4 linked regions of the Ovis aries genome follow. The protein of the gene in region 4 interacts with the protein of the main gene of each other region in a biochemical or structural test. Links are inferred from orthologs where the notes say so. Each region holds a gene or a part of one and is shown on either strand. Other genes may lie near its edges.

The links.
Region 1: of the proteins of SMAD1 (region 4) and MAPK1, one has a biochemical effect on the other in vitro, tested with the Homo sapiens proteins (3 studies listed by BioGRID). The link is inferred for Ovis aries from reciprocal best matches to the Homo sapiens genes SMAD1 and MAPK1.
Region 2: of the proteins of SMAD1 (region 4) and ACVRL1, one has a biochemical effect on the other in vitro, tested with the Homo sapiens proteins (2 studies listed by BioGRID). The link is inferred for Ovis aries from reciprocal best matches to the Homo sapiens genes SMAD1 and ACVRL1.
Region 3: the proteins of SMAD1 (region 4) and STUB1 form a complex in vitro, tested with the Homo sapiens proteins (3 studies listed by BioGRID, with this or other methods). The link is inferred for Ovis aries from reciprocal best matches to the Homo sapiens genes SMAD1 and STUB1.

The regions. Positions count from the first base shown.
Region 1 is NC_056070.1:72,086,365-72,092,052, reverse strand, and holds part of MAPK1 (mitogen-activated protein kinase 1), read right to left. Parts: intron 2,636-5,688; coding exon 2,526-2,635; intron 1,568-2,525; coding exon 1,451-1,567; 3' UTR 1,442-1,450; intron 244-1,441; 3' UTR 1-243. UniProt on the Homo sapiens protein: Serine/threonine kinase which acts as an essential component of the MAP kinase signal transduction pathway. MAPK1/ERK2 and MAPK3/ERK1 are the 2 MAPKs which play an important role in the MAPK/ERK cascade.
Region 2 is NC_056056.1:134,403,484-134,408,117, forward strand, and holds part of ACVRL1 (serine/threonine-protein kinase receptor R3), read right to left. Parts: intron 4,220-4,634; coding exon 4,022-4,219; intron 1,199-4,021; coding exon 1,068-1,198; intron 1-1,067. UniProt on the Homo sapiens protein: Type I receptor for TGF-beta family ligands BMP9/GDF2 and BMP10 and important regulator of normal blood vessel development. On ligand binding, forms a receptor complex consisting of two type II and two type I transmembrane serine/threonine kinases.
Region 3 is NC_056077.1:1,116,907-1,123,013, reverse strand, and holds STUB1 (E3 ubiquitin-protein ligase CHIP), read right to left. Parts: upstream 3,742-6,107; coding exon 3,583-3,741; exon of another isoform or gene 3,577-3,582; intron 3,092-3,576; coding exon 2,893-3,091; intron 2,807-2,892; coding exon 2,641-2,806; intron 2,600-2,640; exon of another isoform or gene 2,454-2,599; coding exon 2,366-2,453; exon of another isoform or gene 2,221-2,365; coding exon 2,164-2,220; exon of another isoform or gene 2,077-2,163; coding exon 1,960-2,076; exon of another isoform or gene 1,884-1,959; coding exon 1,758-1,883; 3' UTR 1,497-1,757; downstream 1-1,496. Other genes in the region: JMJD8 (jmjC domain-containing protein 8), read left to right, coding at 61-159, 328-376, 454-550, 640-708, 788-907, 995-1,062, 1,146-1,280, 1,370-1,450; uncharacterized protein LOC101103616, read left to right, coding at 3,740-3,870, 4,278-4,371, 4,504-4,663, 4,836-4,988, 5,089-5,252; RHBDL1 (rhomboid-related protein 1), read right to left, coding at 5,892-6,107. UniProt on the Homo sapiens protein: E3 ubiquitin-protein ligase which targets misfolded chaperone substrates towards proteasomal degradation.
Region 4 is NC_056070.1:12,881,807-12,888,204, reverse strand, and holds the start of SMAD1 (mothers against decapentaplegic homolog 1), read left to right. Parts: upstream 1-2,781; 5' UTR 2,782-2,980; intron 2,981-3,258; exon of another isoform or gene 3,259-3,467; intron 3,468-3,534; exon of another isoform or gene 3,535-6,398. UniProt on the Homo sapiens protein: Transcriptional modulator that plays a role in various cellular processes, including embryonic development, cell differentiation, and tissue homeostasis.

The sequences.
Region 1 (5,688 bases), about 59 Mb from region 4:
AGCAAGGTGGGCGGGAGGGGCCCTGAGGGACGCACAGCCGCAGGTCACCAGAGGCGGCGCACACGGGGCCAGGACGGCACCCTGGCCGGGGGAGTTCTTTGAAAGCACAGAAGCCACAACTACCAGGAGCCGCCCCTCCGACGGCTCAGAGGAGTCAGGTGGACACGCAGACGGGCTGGGGACAGGCGGGTCAGGAGCTGCAGGAGAGCCGCGGGGTCTGCGTGCCGTCCTCGGGCCCATGTCCTGTGGGGAGACAGACAGACAGATCCTCCGTGAGCCATGGACGCGCTGCGGGGAAACGGCAGTGGCGGGAGGACACAAAAGCGGGAAAGCAGAGAAACTGCTGCAGCAAAGGCCACCTTCCCGGAACCGCCCACGGGACGGGGCTCACCTCCAGCCCCGGGGCACCCGCCCTCAGCCGCCCCAGAGACCTGCCCAGGACCCCACCCCACGGCCGGGCCAGCACCACGCTCCCAGACGCCCTTCTTTGGCCACAACTGACAGTACGTGGTGGGATCTGCTTCGCAACCAGTGGTGAAAGCGGCGCCCCTACCTCTGAGGCGAGGCCCACAGGGAAGCCTCCCAGAGGCCCCTCATCTCCCCCTCCGGTCTCTGTCTCTTTCTGGCCGTGCTGGTCTCCGCTCTGCACGCAGGCTTCTGCAGCTGCGGTGTGCAGGCGGGTGCCGTTTGCTAACCGGCGGTCCACCCCGGGACGCATGCGTCTTGTGAACGCCCGTTCAAGTGGACGCTGTTGCCCCTCTTGGCAGGACGCCCGCCCCCACTCTGGACGGGCAGGTGGGCCAGAATCGCCGCCCAGAATCGCCGCCTCCCAACCAGCGCTGCCTTAAATGCCCCAGTTTTCTCTGCCCAAGCGTGATCGGCGCAGCCACGGGCTGGCCGGAAGGTGAGGCTGGCAGGTTGGACTGGGAAGGGCAGGAAGGGACCCCTGCCACCCCGAGCCCTGAGAGGCGGCCCTGAGGGCCCACCAGGCCTCTGGGAGGCCCCAGCACCCCTCTAACGTCCTGTCTCACTTGAGGAAGTCGCATTCCAGGTCAAACCCGCGATCCCTGCCCACAGACCCGCAGGCTCACCGGGAGCAGGAGGACCTGCGGCTCACGCCCTCCCCCGGGACCACCCTGGGGGAGGGGCACGAAGAGACCGCGCCGAAGCCCCTGCCCTCCGACGCCCAAGCTGGCCTGTCCCAGGCATTTCCACTCACTTCTCGAGCTCTGAGAGAGGCCGCGTGCTCTCCCCTTCCACAGATCCTCTAAAACTGAGATCAGTTTCCTCTTTGGAGCGCTTCAAAAAACCCAACCATCACTGCTGTACGGCTCCCCACACCTCGGGCTGCAAAGCTTCCATACGAAACCCCCCTTTAATGACACCTGGTAACACCCTGTCTTCTTCGCCAGGACTTATTTACGGTTAAAGCTCCAGGTACCTGACAAATTTAAGATCGGTATCCCGGCTGGAATCTAGCAGTCTCTTCAAAAATGAGTTCTTTGAGCTTCTCCTTGGGCAAGTCATCCAATTCCATGTCAAACTTGAAGGGTGCTTCGGCGACGGGCTTGAAGATAAAGCGTAACTTTGAGATGAGGGTGCCCCTGGCGGGGCTGCTACCCAGGCTCTGGGCTCCCGCCCGCAGCACCAGCCCCCCAGGGTGGGAGGTGTGCCCCGCGCGCCCGGGACCGACAGCAGGCAGCGCCCCCGCACTGCGCTGGGTGGGGAGGGCTGCGGCTGGCTGCCCGGTGTGTCCAGAGCCAAAGCCTGGAAGCTCACACACTAGCTCAGCACGTCCCAGGGGCGGGGGCGCCTGGTGGGCTGCCGTCTATGGGGTCGCACAGAGTCGGACACGACTGAAGCGACTTAGCTTAGCTCAGCACACGCCAGCGCCTGTCTGTGAAGAAGCCTCACAGTGAACAGAAGCCTCACGGCCGATGAAAACTGTGGCGAACGGCCATATTTACGTTACACAGAACGAACCCTGCTTTTTCTAAATTTAGATACAAAAACGTAAGAATGAGATGGAAAATACTCCAGAATTTTAACAACAACTATCCGTGTAACCAGACTACAAAGTGATGTTTCTTGTATTTTCTGGTGTTTTTTAAGTATCTCCTCTCCATATAAATAACCAGAGAGTCAGCACTGTCTCTGTGCGTCAGAGATCCTCCTCACACGCTCAGTGCTGCTGTTACCAGGTACCCCAGACCTCATCCCTGCCATCCTCACACCAGGTCTTAAGGGGTAGGAAAACACACACCCCAAATTCAGCTCTGGCCCCCGAAAAGGGGGAAAGGAGGAAACTCGCGGTTGCTCTCCCTGCGGGAGGGCTCGCTGTGTGGGGCCCTAGGCGTGCTGTCCTTCTGACACCTTGGCGCCCAGGGCAGTGAGAGCCCGGGTCTCTCCTTCTCCGCTGCAGCCCTGTCACCACAGGGAGCCGGCCGCCACTGCGCCTGGGGCAGCTGACAGATCCGTGCGCACTCCCCCTCCGCCCAAGCAGGCAGCCCCTGCCGGACTCTCACCTCGTCGCTTGGATCGTAGTACTGCTCCAGGTACGGATGGGCCAGAGCCTGCTCCACCTCGATCCTCTTGTGAGGGTTGAACGTCAACATTTTGTCCAGTAAATCCAGAGCTACAGAGAGAAAGGTTTTGCAGAGATGAGAAGCCAAAGGGGCAGTCACCGCACCGACCAGGCACTTCCTGTTTATTTAAGTCACGACCCACAAGACCGGGGCGCTGAGGGGGCCGGGCGCGCAGGGGGCCTGCTCCACCTGAGCGTCTGACGGCAGAGACCACACTCAGGAAGGTGGTACGCTCTGCAGAGGCTCCACAGGGAGCCAGGATTCAGGCCCAAGGCTGCCCACAAAACCCGGCCTGGTCCGAAAGCACGGCCCCACCCTGCAGGGTCGCGAGCAGAGGCTATGCGTACTACTGCGCTCAGGTCAGCTCCAAGGTCACTTTGGCCTGGCCACTTCCTGCCCCGTGGCTTCAGCCCCCTCCTTCCAGTTCCGGCTGACAGGCCTGTGTGAAGCGCAGGCCGCTGGAAACACGTTCCCTGCTGGAGACAGCAGGCACGCAGTGTGCCCACGTGCGCTGGGCTCTGCCCCCATGAGTCGCCTCTGAGGCCTGCCACCCCTACCCACCTTCAATGAGGAGTCCATCCAAGCAGTAAACCGCTTTGCATGTGGTGAGAAACTCCACACCACACAGGACGGTTTTCACGTCCATAAAGCGAAGTGTGAGGAACAGCAGGATCTTTTTAAAGTCCACATAGTGAATTTCTGCCTACAGCACATTTTCCAACTAGCGACAGGGAAACACGGGGCGCCTGCTGGACCCCAGCGGCCCAGGGCCTGCCCCCGCCCCTGCCCAGAGCGGCCGTCTGCCTCAGGACTCGCGACCCTCGTCTGCAGTGGTCAGAGCCCCCAGCACTGCCTTTAACCCCCACCTCCTGCTGTTGCTAAGAGAGACGCACCCCAGGCGACGGGCATTCCTAAATCAGACCTCGCGTTCCTTCAAGTTCAATCCTAGGCAACAACTTCAAAGGAAGAGAGCTCTTCTCTTTTCTTTGCTACTGGAGAAAGGCCTGGCCTCCAGCCTGCTCCACCTGAGCCACGCGCAGGGACAGGAGGCTGGGGGAGGCGAGCCGCGGGCAGGTGCAGGCCGGGCGCCACGCCACACCGAGTCCTGCTGTCTGCGCACACGCGTCGCTGGGTGCGGAGGCCACCAGCCCTCAGAGGCCGGATGGCACCCCGCCGCGACCCTGCCTCTCCAGGATCCCACGCTGTCCTCTAACTCGGGAGCACAGCTCTGTGCCTCCACTGTCTGCCCCATGGGTCACTCCCCTGCCAGGCCCCAGGGCAGCGTGCCCGGCTGGCGCTCACTCTGAGCCTCCTTACCCACCAGGCGGGACTCCGACTCAGAACAGGGCTGCCACCTGTCCCGTCCACCCTCCACCCTCGGCTCCAAGTCCCGAGCGGGGCCAGAGGAGGCGGCCGCCTGTGCAGGCTGCGCCACCACAGCCGCGCTTCTCAGACTCTGGGCTCAGAGCCCTGCTGCCAAGGCCTCCAGGAGTCAGCTGCCACCAAGGGCTTCACCCCGCAGGCCCCGGGAAGGGTCGTGGGGCCTCAGGGCTGAGGAGCACACGGCCGAGACCCGCGGGGCCCCGGCCAGTCCTGCTCTGCCCTGAGCACGTCGCCTCCCGCTCACGAAGGCGGGTCAGGCCCTCCCCGCAGCTGGCACACATGCCTCAGCATATCCTACAGGGAAACCAGGTTCCCCAGGTGGCCTTCCTGGACATCCCTCCAGCGGGCCCTCACGCATCCTTCTGGGAAAAGGGGACCCTCTTCCCTTCCAAGGCTGACCCTGCCTGCTGTATCCTGGCCCCCACTCCCCGGGGTCCTTTCTGAATCCCTCAGCCCTCTGAGCGGCCACCGGGACCTGAACTGGAGGCCTCCTCTTCCACAGGCTCCAAGGCCCTGCCCCCCATGCTGCCCAGGGAGGACTCCCATCCACCCCCCGAGAGTCCCCGTCTTCACCCCCCGACCTCCTCCAGGACCTCAGCTGCCATCTGCTGAACTCTCCTGACCCCAGAGTCAGCTCAGCACCCACCGCACAAGAGACAGGACGCTGCTCACGGCCCCGCTGAGAATGTGGGTGCGCACGTGTTTACAGGGCAGCGAGGAAGTCTGCATGCTGTTCAAACGGCGGGCTATCCGACAAATGGAGATAGATTTCTCACAAGAACTGCGGTTTTTTAAAGTTCAAGAAACAGGGGATTTCGCTGCTGGTGAAGACTTCGAGCTTCCACTGCAGGAGCGTGAGTCTGACTCCCAACTGGGGGACAAAGATCCCGTGGGCAACTCTTGCCCGGGGAAGCAGGGAGAGGCTTGGCCGCAGCGGCCGCCAGGGGCGGGTGCTCTCAGGACACAGGCCAGTGTGAGCCTAGAGCTGCTGGAGGCCACCGTGTCACAATGAGAAACGAGGCTGGCCAACAGGAGAGGCGGGAGGAGAAGGCACTGCTCATCGCAAAGCCAGACTTGGTCACAGCAGCTGTGCCCGGAGTCCATGGCCTGCTGGTCCCCAGGCTGGTGAAGCCCTCTGGGCTGAGGCCGGTCAGGGGCTCCCGTGGAGGGCAGAAGAGGCCTCAGAGCCGGCCCTCCAGTCTGAGGACTCCCCGCACCCACAGGCCGTCCCACCGCTCGTCCCTGACACGTCTGTAGAACCTTCCTGTGCGTCGTCTTCCACGCAGCTGAAATCACGCGATGTGCGGCAAACGCTGTTACCTCCTCAGTGAGCACTGCTCATTCGTGTTTCCCCTTGCTACGAACACTTTGTAAAAATCACGCTTAGGGGCTGTATTCCCGACTCTCCCGTGAGGTGGGTGAAACGTGCCCCATTCTGAGTTAAGGAAAACGCGCAATGGTGAGGTCAGTGACTGCCCCAAGGCACAGGCCCGGGCGCCCAGCCTGCCCCCGGAGCCAGCCCCAGAGTGCAAGGCCGAGCAGGAGTGTGCAGCTGTCAGCCCGGAGCGCAGGGGCGCTGGAAACGCAGTCTATACACCAGCCACGCCGGGCCCTCTACACTCTTCCGTGATCAAACCTGCCGGCCTCTCCTTCACTTTTGTCTTCTTGATGTGTTTGCTTTGAAAGCTCAGGAAGATATTTCTCCCCCATGTAGACATCA
Region 2 (4,634 bases), on a different chromosome or scaffold from region 4:
AAAATGAGAGGAGAGACAGCAGTGGTGAAAGGGAGATAGCGGGAACAGGGCAAGGATGAGAAAAGAAAGACAAAAATGGAAGAGGAAGGGAGTGGAGTGGGAAGGGGATGGAGAAAGGTAGGCAGGATGGAAAGAAGATGAACTCAGGCCTTCACGGACACCTTCCGGTGAGTACCCCCACTCTCATTCCACCCAGACCCAACAGAGGGGAGACCTGCAGGCCTTGGGGCTCTCAAATCCCCTCTCTGAGGCCAGACCCCACTGCAGAAGGCAGTGGCTCCCAGTACCTCCACCAACCCTGGCCTGGTCCACTGGACACTGGGAGATTGGGTGGTAGGTGCTGCCCTCAAAATGCATGTGTCCAAGAAGCTCAGTGGTCGCAGAGTGAGCCAGCCTCACCTCTGCCTTGGAACTCAAGCCAGTTCCTGGCAGGGACTGTATGTGTGTGTGCATAGGAGTGGCTATTTGTGGCTCTGTAATGTTGTGCAGAAATTTACTTGGGTCTGTGTATATATACATGTATACACATGTCAGTGTTCAGTCATTCATTCCATAAACATTGGTTGAGTACCTAGTGTGTGCCAGGCACTGTGACAGGGAACAAGGAGAAAAGTGCCAAGAGAGAAAAAAGGTCTTTTTCTCTGTCTTCATGGGGCCAACAGTCTGGTATATATATGCATGTGTGTGTACCTGTGAATGTGTACATGTGTGTTTGTACAGAAGTGTGCATATGCCTATATTTGCCTATATATACATATATGTGCATTCTATACAAAGTATGTGGAGTGCTTTGAGAAAAAAGAACAACTAACTTCACAGCAAAAAATAGCAGAGAACCTCTGTCTTTGCAGGCAAGGTGAAACATTCTAAAAAAATCCCAGAATAACTGGAGCGTCTCTGGAGGTCCACAGGCAGGAATGTGGGAGGGAGTACCCAGAGAGGTCCCCTGGGATCTCTCCCCTAGAGCCTACCCAGGGGAAGCAGAGGCCAGACATGAGTTCCTCAGCCCAGAACCCCCAGTGCTGAGCCACCACCCCACACCATCTCAGCACCCCCAGGGGCCTCACCGGGTCTGCAGCCAGCCGGTTGGGGATGGTGGGGGTCTGCTGGTCAACACACACCACCTTCTTCATGTCCTCAAAGCTGGGGTCATTGGGCACCACATCATAGAAGGGTGGCCGGTAGTCCTCCACGATGCCTAGGGATGTAGGACAATGGGACAGTCACTTGGGACCACAAACACGTCCCATACCACCCAGAAGTGAGCCTTGCCCACACTCAGTCCCAGGGTCCAGGAAACCAGCTGCCTGCCCATGCTACCTCTGAGAGGGACACCATAATATAATAAATATATTTATAAACAATAATTACTGCCATTTATCTTACACTTACCAAATATGCCAGGCATTGTGCTATAAAATGCACAATCCTATTAGTCTTCACAGCAACCTGACCACCCATTTTACAGATGAAGAAACTGATGCTCAGAGAAGTTGAGCCCAAGGATACACAGCTTGTAATGGTAGAGTCAAGACTTAAACACATTGCATTCATAGGACAGATCTTGTTCCAGTCTTTCCACAGCTGCCTCTCACCCAGGGTCAAGGTACTGCTTCCAGGCCCCAGCTATCAGAGATGCCCCAAAATAGCTAATGTTTACTGAGCAATTACTATGTGGCAGGCACTGTCCTAACCGTATGGCATGAGATCCTCACAAAACAACCCTATCAGATGAGGAAGACTATTAGCTCCACTTTATAAGCAATGAGGGGGCTCCCAAGTCACACTAGTGGTAAAGAACACATCTGCCAGTGCAGGAGGCTAAAGAGACTCGGGTTCTGTCCCTGGGTCAGGATGATCCCCTGGAGGAGGGCGTGGCAACCCACTCCAGTATTCTTGCCTGGAGAACCCCACGGACAGAGGAGCCCAGCAGGCTACAGTCCATGGAGTCGCAAAGAGCCGGACAGGACTGAAGCAACTTAACACACACACACACACACACACACACACACTCACTCACTCACTCTCTCTCTCTCTCTCTCTCTCTCTCTCTCTCTCTGAAATTCAGGCCAGATTCAGGCCAGAGAGGTTAAGAAGCTTGTCTAAAATCACACAGATAGTAAGTGACAGAGCTAGGAGTTAAGCCCAGGAAGTCTTACCAAAGCCCATGCTCTTGACCTCCAAGCTACACTTGAGGGAGGGGGGCAGACTGCTGGGTAAGGATATAGAATGAGGAGAAGGGGAAGAAAACACATCTTCGAAGGGAAGGAGATTTACCCAGGTCCAGATCACATCCACTCACTCTCAGGGGTGGCACAGGCCTCTGCTGACCCCCTCAGCCAGCAGTAACCCCTCCCCTCATCATCCCAAGTGTGCCATCCTGAGCAGGATCTTTCTGAAGATGATGCTGGTGGAGCGGCAGTCACTGAGGCAGAAGAGGCCAGACCCCAGAAAAGCACCTTAGGCCCCACCCTTCTTCCAGCCCGAGGCTGGGGGCTGCAGCCACACAGAACAGCCACAGCCTCAGGAGAGCCCGAGCCAGCTGTGCTCCCCGTGGCGGGCGTCCAGGCCGGCCCCCGTGCTGCTTGAGCCCTAATCAGTGCTGCGCAGAGGCCTGAGCGTGTCTAATGGGCCTTTAATCAGCGCCGGGGCTGACACCAGATTACAGTGTTTATAATGCGCCGCGAATCTGTGTGGAGCTGACAGAGCTTCCCTCCTCCCCAGGAGTCTGCAATCAGCCTCCTCTTCAGCCCAGGCTGGTCCAGCCTTCCTTTCCTGCCTGTGGCTGGGTCCGAGGGGCCTCGGTTGCTTCCAGGTGCCCCCTTTACCAGCCCCAGCCTCTGGAGTTTGTGTCTGAACCTGAGCCCAGCAAGAGGGTGGTCCTCAACCTGTCAAGACTCCTGGCAGCCCCTCTCCGTGGACAGCCTCCACAAAGACTGACCAGCCTCCCTACCTGGTCCAGAGCACCACCCAGCACCCATCCACCCCAAGACTGGGAAGGCACCAGCCACAGGGCAGGCCCTCTATGGGACCGTGAAGAATGAGGTCCCTGTGCCTGCTCCTCTCCGAGCTTCGGTTCTCTGTAGCACCCGTGGTAATAATGAGGCAGGAGGGACTTCCTTGGTGGTCCAGTGGTTAAGACTCCACTCTCAGTGCAGGGGGCACTGGTTCGATCTCTGGTCAGGGAACTAAGATACTGCATGCCGCACGGTGCAGCGAAAAATAGTAATAATAATAGTAAGGCATCAATAAGCAGGAAGTGCAGGCACTATTACATCCTGCATTTCTGAGGGAACAAGGACCAAAGAGGTGGAAGTAGCTCAGTAATAAAGAGCACTGGTCCGAAGAGTCAAAGTGCCTGGTTTCAGACCCCAGTGCTGCCGCTAGCCAGCTGTGACTCTGTGCCTCAGTCCCCCAACCTGTAAAATGGGGGTGCTGCTCTGTCACGCATTTGTCATTACGACAATTGCCACCAATATTTACTGAACTCCACTACAGTTCCAGATACTGCCCTGATTACCTTATTTGGATTATCTCAACAGCTGGAAATTATTTTTCTTCTCATTTTACAAATGAGGAAACTGAGGCACAGAAAAGTAAAGTACTTCACACATGGCAAAAATCAGGCACTGAACTTAGTCTGATTTCCCTCCGTTGCTCTTAACCACTGAAGCATACCACCTCCCTGCCAACACAGGACAATTCAGTAGGATAATACATGTACACAGCATGACATCTGGCACGTACTGAAACTCAATAAATGTTAGCTGTTATTAATATTTCTGTTGTTACCAATTACCCGAGATTTCGCAGCCAGAATCAGACTCAGATGAACCTGCAAAGGTCGCTCAGCTGAGCCAGCTGGTGAGTGACAGGAAAGGGAATTTGGAAGGCCTGACCACAAGCCCCTCAGGCCACTGGCCGGCGGAGACAGGAAGCCCTGCCTCCCACCTGTCTGCCTGGGTATCCTCCGGCCCTGTTCCCCTGTCCCACCCTGTGCAGGGGGGTGCCGGAGGCTCACCGTTGACAATGGTCCGGCGGGTGATCTCCCACAGCACCAGGCCAAAGGCCCAGATGTCCGTCCACTTGTAGGATTCGAAGCAGTCGGTTCGGATCTGCTCTTCCAGCACCTCGGGGGCCATGTACCGCTTGGTGCCCACTCGCGGGTTGTTGCCAATGTCCAGGTAATCACTACCCTGGGAGTGCATCACAGCCAGGCCTGTGGGCACCGGGCCTGTCACTGCCGCTGCTCACCCGGGCCCACAGACAGGGTGGCCCTGGGGAGGCTGGAATCCCGGCGTGAGGTGAGAGGGCGACAGACGGCAGGACACAGAGGGGCCGGCAACTGGAGACCGCCCTGAGCTGGGCTGGGAGCCAGCAGCCACAGGGAGAATAACTGTCCCTGTCATACTTGGCCTGCGTGGCGCTCTCTAGGCGCAGGGATCCGGTGAGATGCGAGTAGGCAAGGCAGGCATATATTTCAGAACTGAATCCCAGCGCACGGTGACAGCGAGCAATGTGCTCAGCAAAGCCGGGATGAGAACCCAGGTTGCTGGCTCCCTGCCCCTTTCTCCCCACACCTGGAGCCTGGCTGAAGTGGTGGAAGGAGTCTGGGCTTGAAAATACTGTTAAGG
Region 3 (6,107 bases), on a different chromosome or scaffold from region 4:
GGTGAAGCGGGGCGGGGAGCGCAGCGGGGCGGCCGACAAAGTGAGCCGCTGTGTCGGCAGGCGGCGGCCCGGGCCGGGGGCGCCGGCGGCCGTGACGGAGGAGGAGCACTGCACCGTGGAGCGCCGGGCTGACCTCAGCTACGCCGAGTTCGTGCAGCGGTACTTGCGGCCTCCTGTGGGGCCACACCTCCCGGAAACCTGTCCCTAGAGCCGTCCCCTGCACCGCCGAGGACGCGCACTTCCCCTTGAGCCCCTTTGAGCCCGTGTGGGCGGGAGCCGAGGGTGGGGGCGGGTCAGACCTGGCCGTGACCCTGCCCTTCCTTCTAGCTACGCCTTTTCCAGACCTGTCATTCTGCAGGGGCTCACAGACAACTCGGTGAGTATTCACGCCCCTCTCGACCACCACTCGCCAGTGCAGGGCCCCGCCCCGAAGTCCTTTCTCTACCTCCGCAGAGGTTCCGGGACCTGTGCACCCGTCAGAGGCTGCTGGCCTCCTTTGGAGACAGCGTGGTCCGGTTGAGCACCGCCAACACCTACTCCTACCAGAAAGGTGAGCTGCCCCACCCCGCAGCCCAGCCTGCTTGCCAGCATCTTGCAGGCAGCACCAACTAGTCCTGACCAACGCCTTTCAAACTGCAGTGGACCTGCCCTTTGAGAAGTATGTGGAGCAGATGCTGCACCCCCAGGACCCCATCTCCATGGGCAATGGTGAGCGAGACAGGTGGCCATTGGGTGTGTGTAGGGGGGAGTGACTTGGAGATCCCTGTGTCCTGTTTTCTGCTGGCAGACACTCTGTACTTCTTTGGGGACAACAACTTCACCGAATGGGCCTCCCTCTTTCGGCACTACTCTCCACCTCCGTTCAGCCTGCTGGGTACAACTCCTGCTTACAGCTTTGGAATTGCAGGTGGGTGCCCTGCAAGACGAAGGGACTTGGGGGCTGGCTGGGGGAGGATTAAGCTTGGTAACCAGGTGCTCCTAACTTGCCTCACAGGAGCTGGCTCTGGGGTGCCCTTCCACTGGCATGGACCTGGGTTCTCGGAGGTGATCTATGGCCGCAAGGTCAGCACAGGGTGCAGGCTGAGACTCTGGGTTCACTGACCAAAATACAAAGCATAACTTTGCTGCTCCCCGCCAACCCCCAGCGCTGGTTCCTGTACCCTCCTGAGAAGACACCCGAATTCCACCCCAACAAAACCACACTGGCCTGGCTCCAGGACACATATCCAGCCCTGACACCATCTGCACGGCCCCTGGAATGCACTATCCAGGCTGGTGAGGTCAGTGGCTGGCAGACGGGCCAGGCTGAGCCAGGCCAAGGACCCCCATCCAACCCATCAACCCACATGTCCCCCCAACCCCTCGCCAGGTGCTGTATTTCCCGGACCGATGGTGGCATGCCACACTCAACCTCGACACCAGCGTCTTCATCTCTACCTTCCTCGGCTAGCCAAAGGGGGTGGCTGGCAAGCCCACCGCACACCAGCACACATCCCTGCAGTACTCACAGGTTTTATTACAGGGACAGAGGTGGTGGCAGCAGCCTCAGCCCAGCCCAGCCTCACCCCCCCTTTCCGGCCCAGAAGGAGGATGAGAGGCGTGTTGCCCAGCAGAACTGATGGGGGTGGGGGTGGGGACACCAGGGTAGGGATCCAGGGACACAAACTATATACAGAAAACTAGGGGCTGCTGCCCCAAGGCCCTCCTGAACTAGGGTACCGGGCAAGGCAGGTGGGTGGCCCATACACCCACCCTGCTCAGTAATCCTCTACCCAGCCATTCTCAGAGATGAAGGCATCGATGACCTCTTTCATGGCCAGGTTGGGGATGAGCTGTTCCTGGGTCAGGGGGCTCCGAGTCACAGGGTCAAAGTGGCCCACGCGCTGCAGTGACAACAGGGCAGAGTCAGGGGCTGCTCAGTGCGCGTGGGCCCTGCTGCCAGCGCCCACAGACCCTCACCTGCAGGTGCTCCTCGATGTCCTTACGGTCGTATGTGATGCCACTGGGCGTGATGCAGGGCTCCCGCATCAGCTCAAAGCTGATCTTGCCGCACAGGTAGTCAGGGATGTCTCGCTTCTGCAGCACACAGGGTTGGATCAGGTCAGGGGCTGGGAAGGGACACTGCTCTAGCTACCCACCGGCCCCAGAAGACGGGCAGCTCACCTTTCTCTTCTCGTCTACCTGGGAGAAGAGCTCGTCCATGTCTGCCAAGTACTTGTCCTGCAAAGAACCAAGCAGCCACTTGTGGGCCTGACACCCCTCTCCCCTCCCCAGACACCGAGACACAGACCCAGCAGGAGCCAGGGCACCTCACATCACAGCGCACGCACACACAGGACCCACACTCGGGCTGGGGCACCCTCACATGCTTGGCCTCAATGCAGGCCTGCTGGGCCCGTACGTGGCTGTCGTCCTCGTCACCCTCGTGGTTCCGCTGACACTCTTCCAGTTCCCTGGGGGTTGACCAAAAGGTGTTCAGAGATGGGTCTGGCCAGGGGCAGTCAGACTCCACTCCAGACTTAGGATCATTCAGGCCCCTTTCCCTCCATCTCCTGCGTGCCAGAATTGGCCTTCAATAAACACTTGTGTTCACACCTCAGAGTTAACCTAAGAGTGGTGACTCGAAGAGGGGGAGCCCACCTCTCACGCTCAGCCACAATGAGCCGTGTGAGGTAAGAGTGCAACTCATTTTCCTGGTGGATGCGTCGCTCCTCGATGCTGTTCCAGCGCTTCTTCTTTGCGATGCGCAGAGCACTGGGGATGTCATCCCCAAAGTTGAGCCGCTGCTCCTTGGCCAGGTTGTAGGCTGGGGGATAGAGCATTTGGGTAAACTTCAACCAGTCCACCCACCTGGTCCCAGGCACCCTGGAACCAGCTAGCCTGTAAGCCCACCTCGCTGCAGGTTGGCAATAGCCTCATCATAGCTTTCCATCTCCAGCTGGCATTGCCCCAGGAAGAAGTGTGCCTTCACAGACTGCCCGTCCAGCTCCAGGGCGCGCCGACAGTCGGCCAGGGCTTGCTCGTGCTGCTGCATCTTCAGGTAGCACAGTGCCCGGTTGGTGTAATACACGGCCACCAAGGGGTTCCGGGTCTGGGGACCAAGGCCGGGCCAGCCAGCATGAGGGAGTGAGCTCAGCCTGCCCACTCCGTCCCAACTTGAGGCCCGCGGTTGGAACCAAGACACTAGCATTTTCTCAGCTTCCAAGCCCCTGGGTTCTGAGGGAGGGTGAAGCCTACGTGAGCCCACTCTCTGGACTCCAATGAGTCTTGTGAAGGTAGTTTTCCCGGACTCATGGAAATCCCCAGCATCGCGTTTGACTCCTCAAGGGGCAGGGATGCCTGGTCCCCAGCCCAGTGGGCCTCGAACACCTACGGTTCCCACCCAGCACAGTTCTCTGGCAGCCCGCACTGGCTCGGGAAAGGCGCGGCCTTGGCCCCAGACCCCAAGCACCCACCCCCTCCCTCCGAAAGTCTGGCGGGCACGGCCTGACATGTTCTGAAGAGGGCGCGCGGCAGAAGCCGCAGCTCGGCCCCTCCCCTGGCTCGGACGCCAAGCCCCTCCCGCAGCGCGGGCGCACTCACGATGGCGCGGCCGTAGCAGGCCGCTGCCTCCGGGTACTTGCGGCCCACGAAGAGCCGGTTGCCCTGCTCCTTGAGCTCCTGTGCGCTCGGGCTCTTCTCGGGGCTGCCGCCGCCGGCGCCCAGCCGTGCGCCGCCCTCCTTCTCCTCCTTGCCCTTCATGGCGCCGCACGGCACCGCCTGGGCTCCGCTCCCAGGCTCCGCGCCCAGCCCGCCCTGCGCCCGCAGCCCGAGCCCGCGATCCGCTCGGGCTCGGTCCAGCGCTCCGCCACCGGAACTTCCGGTCTGCAGGTAGGCGGGGCCAGCGGAGCGGACCGCCGCACGGGTGGGCGGGGCCGTGCGTGCCCCCGGCGCGCTGTGGGGGCGGGGCCGGCAGGGAGGGGGACTCTGGCAACGCGACGCGGCGTCAAGGTTTGCGACGCGCTGGGTCACCCGGGCAGACGCCCGCCCGGCCGCGCTCCGACGCCCCGCCCCCGAGGCCTCGCCTGGCGCGGGGAGATGGCCGCGGCTGGCGGGCTCTGGAGCTGTGAGGACCCAAGCCGCTGGGCCGCCGTCTTGGAGTGCCGCGGGGCGGTGCTGCGGGCGCGCGCGGGCCCCCAGGGGCGGCTGGAAGCGCTGGACCGGTGGTAGGGCGGAGGGGGCAGGGGCGGGCGGGCCGAGCCCCGTGGCCCGGACTCCGTAGCGCCGCCTTCCCCCAGGTACCGAGAGGAGCTGCCCGCGGCCATCGGGGCCCGCGCGGAGAAGCACGTGACACTAGACGAGCTGCAGCGGCTGCTGGCGTGGAAACTGGCGGTAAGGCTTCCCACTTGGGGCGCGGCACAGCCACGTGGGTGGGGCTTCCCAGGGGGCTCACCCTCGTGGCAGTCTTGAGGGGCCTCCCAGCGAGGGCCGCCACCCGTGACACCCGACCCGACCTGGCCACAGAGGGGCCGCTTCCGACCGCGCCTGCAGCAACTCGTGGCCGCCAACTCTCCGGAGCTGGTGGTGCAGCGTTCGGCCGCCGCCTTCCGCCTCCTGCCAGACATGCACGCAGCGGTCATGGCTCTGTGCGCCCTCCGTGGCGTGGGCCCGGCTACCGCCTCGGGTTAGTCGGGAAAGCTGGACCACCCCCGGGCAGGGTCGCTGGCGGAACCTGGCCTGTTAGTGTCCTTATCCATGAAATGGTCCGACGGCCAGATACATGATACAGGAGAGTCGCTGGGGACAGCAGCCCCAGGCCCAGGCGGGGCTGAGTGCTGTCCATTCACTGCCCACAGCGGTACTGGCTGCCGGAGCTCCTGAGGCGGCAGCCTTCATGTCTGAGGAGGCAGTGGCCGCAGTGCCCGGCCTGCCCGCCCTGCAGTACACTGTCAAGCACTACCTGCTCTACCTGAGCCGGGTGCAGGAGCGTGCAACAGCCCTGAGCCAAGGTGCGGAGACCACGGGCGGCCCGGGTGGTCACGGAGAGCTCTCTCTGACCGTAGGAAGATCGGTATCTCCGAGCCCCAGACTCTCTCTGCCCTTCTCTAGGCAGTGCATCTGGGCTGTGGACCCCACACCACGTGGAGACGGCCCTGTGGACCTGGGCTGTAGGGCGGAAGATGTGCCCGGACCTGCTGCCCAACCTGGGTCCCAACCTGGTCCCCGCTGAGGACACCAGGCCAGCCAAGAAGCGCAGGACCCAGGCTGAGTGATTTGGCTGCTGGCCAGAGCCTGCTCACCTGCCCTGTGATCTCAGGCCGTAAGTCTCTGGACAGGAGGCTGGCCGACCAGGAAGCTGGCTGCTGTTGAAGCTCAATAAATGCCTGCTGAACTGACACCTGAATGTGAGACCCACAGCCCCTCCCCAGGGCTCCCGGCTCCCACAGACACACCTCATGCTGGGTTCAGAGAAGCAGGGTTGGGGGTGGGGGGGGGCCCTCAGCCACTCTTGTGGAGGGAAGGGCTCTCACAGTTGCTCAGAGTTAGGGGGAGACGAGCCCAGCCCAGGGCCCCAGTACAGCCAGCTAATGCTGTGTAAAATATTTATTCATTCTTCAAAAAGGCTCAGACTGCAAGTCTCAAGGAAGAGGCAGAGGCAGGATCTTCTCTAGGGCCACTCTTGGGGACCTCCACCACCCGGCCCAGGCCAGCAGTCCTGTCCCTCCAGCCTGGGAGGGGGTGGCCAGGGCTAGTGTAAGGCTCGGCCTGGACTCAGTGGGCCACAGGGGCCACCAGCCCACACCGGGAAGGAGCAGCCTCGAGACTACATTCACTGAGGGTGGACATGCAGGCCTGCCCGGTGGCTGGCCCTGGGGTCCTGCACCCTGGCCCCTGTGGCCCTGGGGACCCTGTCAGGGTGGTGGGGGGATATGGGCACCCAACAGGTCGTAGGCGAAGATGTTCCAGAATATGGCAAACAGCAGGAAGGTGCCATAGGCAAGCAGCACCACCCACCATCCGCACTGGTCCCGCAGGCGCTCTTCGTAGCTGCGCAGGATGGTTAGGCCCATGCTGACGCCCACCACTGCGCCCGCCAGGTGCGCCATGAAGCTGGGCTGTGGGCCCGA
Region 4 (6,398 bases):
AGCAGCTGGTGCAAAGGTCCTGAGGTGTGAGTGTGGCCCGGGTGATTCCAAGACTTGTGAGGAGATCACGGTGACTCAAGGAAGGAGCAAGGGATAGAGCAGAACAGGTCAGGAGAGGAAAGGGAGGCAGGAAGGAAAGTTCATGAAGGGCCTTCTCCACATGGCGAGAACTTTTGAGTGAAGTGAGTCAAGGGAAGATTTGGGAGCATACAATGATATCAAGGCAACCCACATTCAAGTTTTCACAACTGTCTCAACAAGATCCTTTTAATAATAGTTCAATTTTCTATTGCCATTGAAAGAAATAGCTGGCACCTGGGGCAAAATCAAATTTCATAGCATGTGTGGACATGAGTTTGGGTAAACTCCGGGAGTGGGTGATGGACAGGGAGGTCTGGCATGCAGTCCATGGGGTCGCAAAGAGTCAGACATGACTGAGCGACTGAAATGAACTATGCTATTAGTAATTATCATTTGGGGCTACTAGGCTGTGCTGGGAAAGGTCATCTATAAGTTAAAAAAATTAACAGCTCTATGTCTTTTTATAGCTTCCCCCAGAATCCAGGATCCAAACATGGATTAATTATCATGTCTTTTTAAAAAACAGCTTTATTGAAATAAAATGGACATGTCATGTAAGTTGCCCACTTAAAGTGTACTGTTCAATGAGCTTTAGTATATCTGTATAGAGTTGAGCAATCATGATCACAGTCTAATTTCATTTTATTTATTCATTTATTTTGGCTGCACTGGGTCTTAGTTGCAATATGTGTGCTAAGTCGCTTCAGTTGTGCCTGACTCTGTGACCCTGTGGACTGTAGCCTGCCAGGCTCCTGCGTCCATGGGATTCTCCAGGCAAGAATACTGGGGAAGGGTGTCATCCCTTCCTCCAGGGGATCTTCCCAACCCAGGGATGGAACCCATGTCTCCTGCATTGACAGGTGGATTCTTTACCTCTAGCGTCACCAGGGAAGCAGTTGCAGTATGTAGGATCTTCATTTGAGGCATGTCGGCTCTAGTTCCCTGACCAGGGCTTGAACCCTGGCCCCCTGCTTTGCGAGCATGGAATAGCAGCCATTGGATCACCAGGGAAGACCCAGACTAATTTTAAAACATTTTTTGTCACCCCCTAAAGAAACTTCATAACCTTTGGTTATCACACCCCACCCTCAGCCCTTCCATTCCCCCAAACATAGGCAACTATCATTCTACCTTCCAACAGGAGCACCTGTCCCGGATATTTTGTATAAATGGAAGCTTACAACCTGTGGTCTTTCGTGTCTGGCTTCTTTCGCTTACCATAGTGTTTCCAAGTTTCATCCATGGAGCTTGTGTCAGTGCTTCATTCTTTTTTATGACTGATGGGGAGACAGTGGAAACAGTGTCAGACTTTATTTTGGGGGCTCCAAAACCACTGCAGATGGTGATTGCAGCCATGAAATTAAAAGACGCTTACTCCTTGGAAGGAAAGTTATGACCACTCTAGATAGCATATTCAAAAGCAGAAACATTACTTTGCCAACGAAAGTCCATCTAGTCAAGGCTATGGTTTTTCCAGTGGTCATGTATGGATGTGAGAGTTGGACTGTGAAGAAAAGCTGAATGCTGAAGAATTGATGCTTTTGAACTGTGGTGTTGGAGAAGACTCTTGAGAGTCCCTTGGACTGCAAGATCCTACCAGTCCATTCAAAAGGAGATCAGTCCTGGGTGTTGGTTGGAAGGATTGATGCTGAAGCTGAAACTCCAATACTTTGGCCACCTCAGGCAAAGAGTTGACTCATTGGAAAAGACTCTGATGCTGGGAGGGATTGGGGGCAGGAGGCGAAGGGGACGACAGAGGATGAGATGGCTGGATGGCATCGCCGACTAGATGGACATGAGTTTGGGTGAACTCCGGGAGTTAGTTGGTCATGGGCGGGGAGGCCTGGCGTGCTGCGATTCATGGGGTCGCAAAGAGTCGGACACAACTGAGCGACTGAACTGAACTGAATGTTCCATTGTATGGATATAGCATACTCTCTTTATCAAAGGAGGGTTTGAGCAGAGGAATGACCTGATCAGAGTGGCATTTAACAAGGCTCACTCCAACTATTGTTTCAAGGAGTAGAGAATGAAGAATTGTGTCAAATGTTGATTTTAGGGAAAATGAGATGAGGCCCAAGAATTGATCTGTAATTGCTCAAATCATTTAATGAAGAAATTAGCAGAAATAGTCTGATCTGTGTATAAACACGGTTTACATATTTCGGGGGACTTGTTGCATTTCCTTTGAATAATTAAACATGGAATGCAGAAATAATAAAATAGCTAATAAGAATTTTAAATGAATGTGCACATGTAAAAGTACACGAACAATTGGAGAGTACCATTAATTTTCTAAAAATACTGGTGGTAATGGTTCTTTTGGTACACGTGAAATTTATTCCTCAGAATAATTATTCGCCTCTAAACATAATTCATCATTATGGTAATTATCCAAGATTTCGTGCCAGCTTACAGAGAGCTGGCCAAGAGAAAAATTAAATCTTACAAAAAGACACTGTCAATGTCTATGCAGATCAGGTTGCTGGGAGTTAGTTCGTTTTATTTGGGGAAGTTCGTGCGTGACATTTGAAAGACTTAGAAACTGGATGGAAAAATTGTTAAGTTATATTGTGGTATTTGTCATCTGGAGCAACGAGGTAACCAACTGGCATCATTAGATCCCGAACTGGCATAAAACACACGTATTGATTGATTCAAGGTTTGCTATAAACACAGGCAATAGTCATTAGGTTATCCAGTTCTGCGTACGAGCAACTTTTGGGGCTTGCAAATCACTGAGTAAGTGAAGGGCAAGGAAAACTAGACAGTAAAAAGGCGAGGCTCGAAAGGTAATTGTCAAAATGCACTCTGCGTTTCCAATGCGGTTCGGTGGGCACGGTGGGAGTGTAGATGAACATTTCGGAAATAAACACTGAAAGCGAAACTTCACCGGCAGGTAAGGCACAAGTCGGTTCCCCCTGGACTCAAGGAGGCAGGGGCAGTAGTGTTTTCTCCTTGGAACAAGCGGGGCGTGGGGCTGGAGGCGGGGGAGGCGGCGCGGGCTCAGCGCTCGCGCCGGCAGGGCCGGGAATTTGGAGAGGATCCCTGGTCGGGCGGCGGTGGCGCGCGGGTGCGCGTGTGAGCGAGCGAGCAGGCGGGCGGGCGAGTGCGCCGAGTATTGGCAGCCGAGGAGTGGAGGCTGGGCGGCTCCGACTCCCTGACGCCAGCGCGACCAGATCAATCCAGGCTCCGGGAGCGAGCGAGCGGGCGAGCGGGCGGGCGGAGGAAGGAGAGGCCGAGCCGCTGAGCCCGGGCCGAGGCTCGGGGAGGGACCCTGCGAGCGCAGCGCGGCGCAGCTCCCGGTCGCCCGGACCGGGGCCGCGGGGGACCCGGCTCGCCCGGCCAACTCGTGCGCCCGCGCGGATGGGCGCGCAGCCAACCCGGTAAAACGAAACAGACCCGAACCCAACTTTCCCCTCCGCCGCGTCCCCGCCCTCCCCTCGGCGCTCCGGGCTTTCCAGCGCCGCCGCCTCGGGCTGGGGCGGGCGCGGGCGGGCCGGGTGGCCGCGACGGAGCGCGGGGCCGGTGGCGCGGACTGCGGCGGGGAGGGGGGTCTCTTCCCCGCGTGGGGCGGATCGGGGGACCCCCACCCCCGCCCATGATGGCGCCTCCCGGCCGCTCTAAAGGAGCAAACCTGCCACCTTTTTCCCTCGGCGCCGGACCAGCCGGGCTGGGCTCGGGCCGCGGTGCCCCCCGCGTCTTTGTTGGGTCTGCGGTGCGGAACCGCGCTCCGAGGCTCCCGGGCTCCCGGCCCTGGCTGCGCCCGGCCCTCTGCGGCCACCCTCCCCCTCCGCCGGTTTCCCTTTCCCTTCCTGCAGCCGGGCCTGGGCACTCGGCGCGGCCCGCGGGCCCATTGTGTCCCGCGCCGGCCCGGGCGACCCCTGCAGGAGTCGGAGGGCGGCCGCCGGCGCTGCCCTTTCCGCGGAGCCGGGCTTGCGCCAGGGGGACACCCGGTGCCCTGGGTCCCTCCGCGTGCGGGGCGGGCTCCCTCCTCTGCCCCCACTAGCCTCTTGGGGGTCGAGGTCAAGGAAAGTTCGCACCGAAATTCCCTCTAATTTATTCAAAGGTCTGGCGGCGGCGGCGTGTAAATTTTTTTTTTTTCTCTTCCGCCTACCCCCCCTCCCCCGCGCCAAGTCTCAGAGTGTCGTCTCATTCCTTTCCCTTTCCCGGATTCGATTGCCTCACTGCGTGTGTGTTTGTGAGTTCGCGGTGCAACAACTGTTCATTTACTCTGCGCTCGGTCTTTGTTAAGTGTTTCTCGGGGTTGTTGTTGCGGGAAGGTGGGGGTGGTGGGTGTGAAAGAGATGTGGGCTTGTTTTTCTAGTTGATTTATATATATTTATATATGAAGGCTTCCAGGGAGAGCGTTTTCTTGATGTACTTTGGGAAGGGCTGGGGAACCGATGCCTGCAGGATCTTACAACTACAGTAGCTGCGGCTTTTGTTTATTTTGCGGCGCGGACGTTGTTTCCATGCACTTGCAAGATCGCCGGTAAGGCACTTCCCTTTCTGAAAATCCGGGCGCGTCTCCCAGCCATCTCCCGAGAAAGCATCGTTGTCGAAAGGGCTGTGACAACCGGCCCCTGTTTGTTTCCCCTGAGGTTCTCTTGCCATTGTAGCTGAAGTTTCTTGAGTAGGTGGAATGACACAGAAGTTGCCTGATTTCTCGGTGTGCTGTTTCTGCTGCTGAAACTTTGAGCACGCCGCTCGATAGCAGAATGCCTTGATTTCAGAACATTTCTCGCTCTCGTGGCCTGCCGTGGATAGCGTGCTTACATTCAGGAACACAGTGAGAAAACTGTTCTCTGCGCTCTGTTGAGTTTTCATCTTGTTTCTAATAACCGCGTGATGCTTTATTGGAGGTAGGTGAGCTGTACTGGAGCCATGATTGAAAAAGAATCGGGACCGAATCAATGTTCACAGCCCCGGGATTTTTCAGTGGTTTAAATATTTTGCATCAGTGTTACTCTGTTGGAGGGGTCAGGCCTGAATATGCTGTAACTGATTTAAGTGTTTGTGCTCTCCTCTCCCTCCGTCCTTCCCGTTTGCAGTTATTTGATATTTCTGTGCAGGTGGTGTACATTTGTGCACTATTGCAATTCTTTAGGAAACTATAACCAGGGTCTTGGGAGGTGGTTTTCTAGAGGTGGGTGATGCCAAAGCCTCTGGAGGATCCGGGCAGGATCAGGTTTCTTCTGAGGGTAGGGATTTGTCCTTGATTTAGTTTTGACCGCTCCAGCCATAGGTATGTAACAGAATACATTTTTCCTTTTTTCAGTGTCCTTTGGTGTTATACCCCTGAGGAGCTGATGACCTTTGCATTTTAGAGAATTGACAATTCTTAGGCCATTTAAAATGTTAATTTATACCTCTTGGAATTCAGTTTTCTACTAAGCTCAATGAAGCATTAAAAGGAAGTATCTCATTTTTCCAAATACATTTATTAGTTGAAAACTAAACTGCAGTTTGTAATTTTGATTTCTAGTAATTCTGGGTTTAATAACTTGGTTAGATTGGAAAAAGAATAAACTTGAGTGTAATTAGATGAGTGTATTTAAGCTGCAGTCACCGCCATAATCAAGGCCAAGTTGTGTGTGTATAAAAGATCTCATTTGTGTAGTCTTACAAGGCTAATGGAGGCATCATTGAGGCTTTATAAATAATGTAAGTTGTGTATAATGTAGAGTCTCCAGAGACGGCACAGAAAGCATCATTACCAGCCTTTTCAACCTGCTTGAGATCTTAAATTGATTTACAGCACTGAACTGGTGCAAAATGATACATCAGGATGACATGGGGTCAGCCTGTAAAAGTCTATGATGTCAGCCTATTAGTTCAGTCATCATAATTAAACCATATTACAGGGGCAGCTGAGCAGGAGTCTGGCGTTATCCTTCAGATATGGGTGGTACATGGATTCTGTTTATAGCGGAAATGCGGAACTGGTGAGGAACGCTCGCATTTCTGGAAGAGAAGAAAGGCTTACAGAACTCTGAGTTTCTGAAAAGAAGATAAATTAAGGGATGTTAAGTCTGCGTTAAGCAGCTTTCCATTTGGTAGTGGACAAGCAGATGCTTTGGGGGTGCTGATAAGGACCTTTGCAGCTCTGATCCCTGCACTGAATCATGCTTCATGTGAGCTTGAATTTAACTTGGCCTAAGGGACCTTCTAAAATATCAGAGAACCACATACTTCGCATCTCTGATCCTTAACATGGAGTCGCACTATATTGATGTATCCGCTGGTATGTTATTTCTTGAACTAATCAGAGTTACCAGCGCTCTACTGGAAACAGAGACACTAATATTTGAATT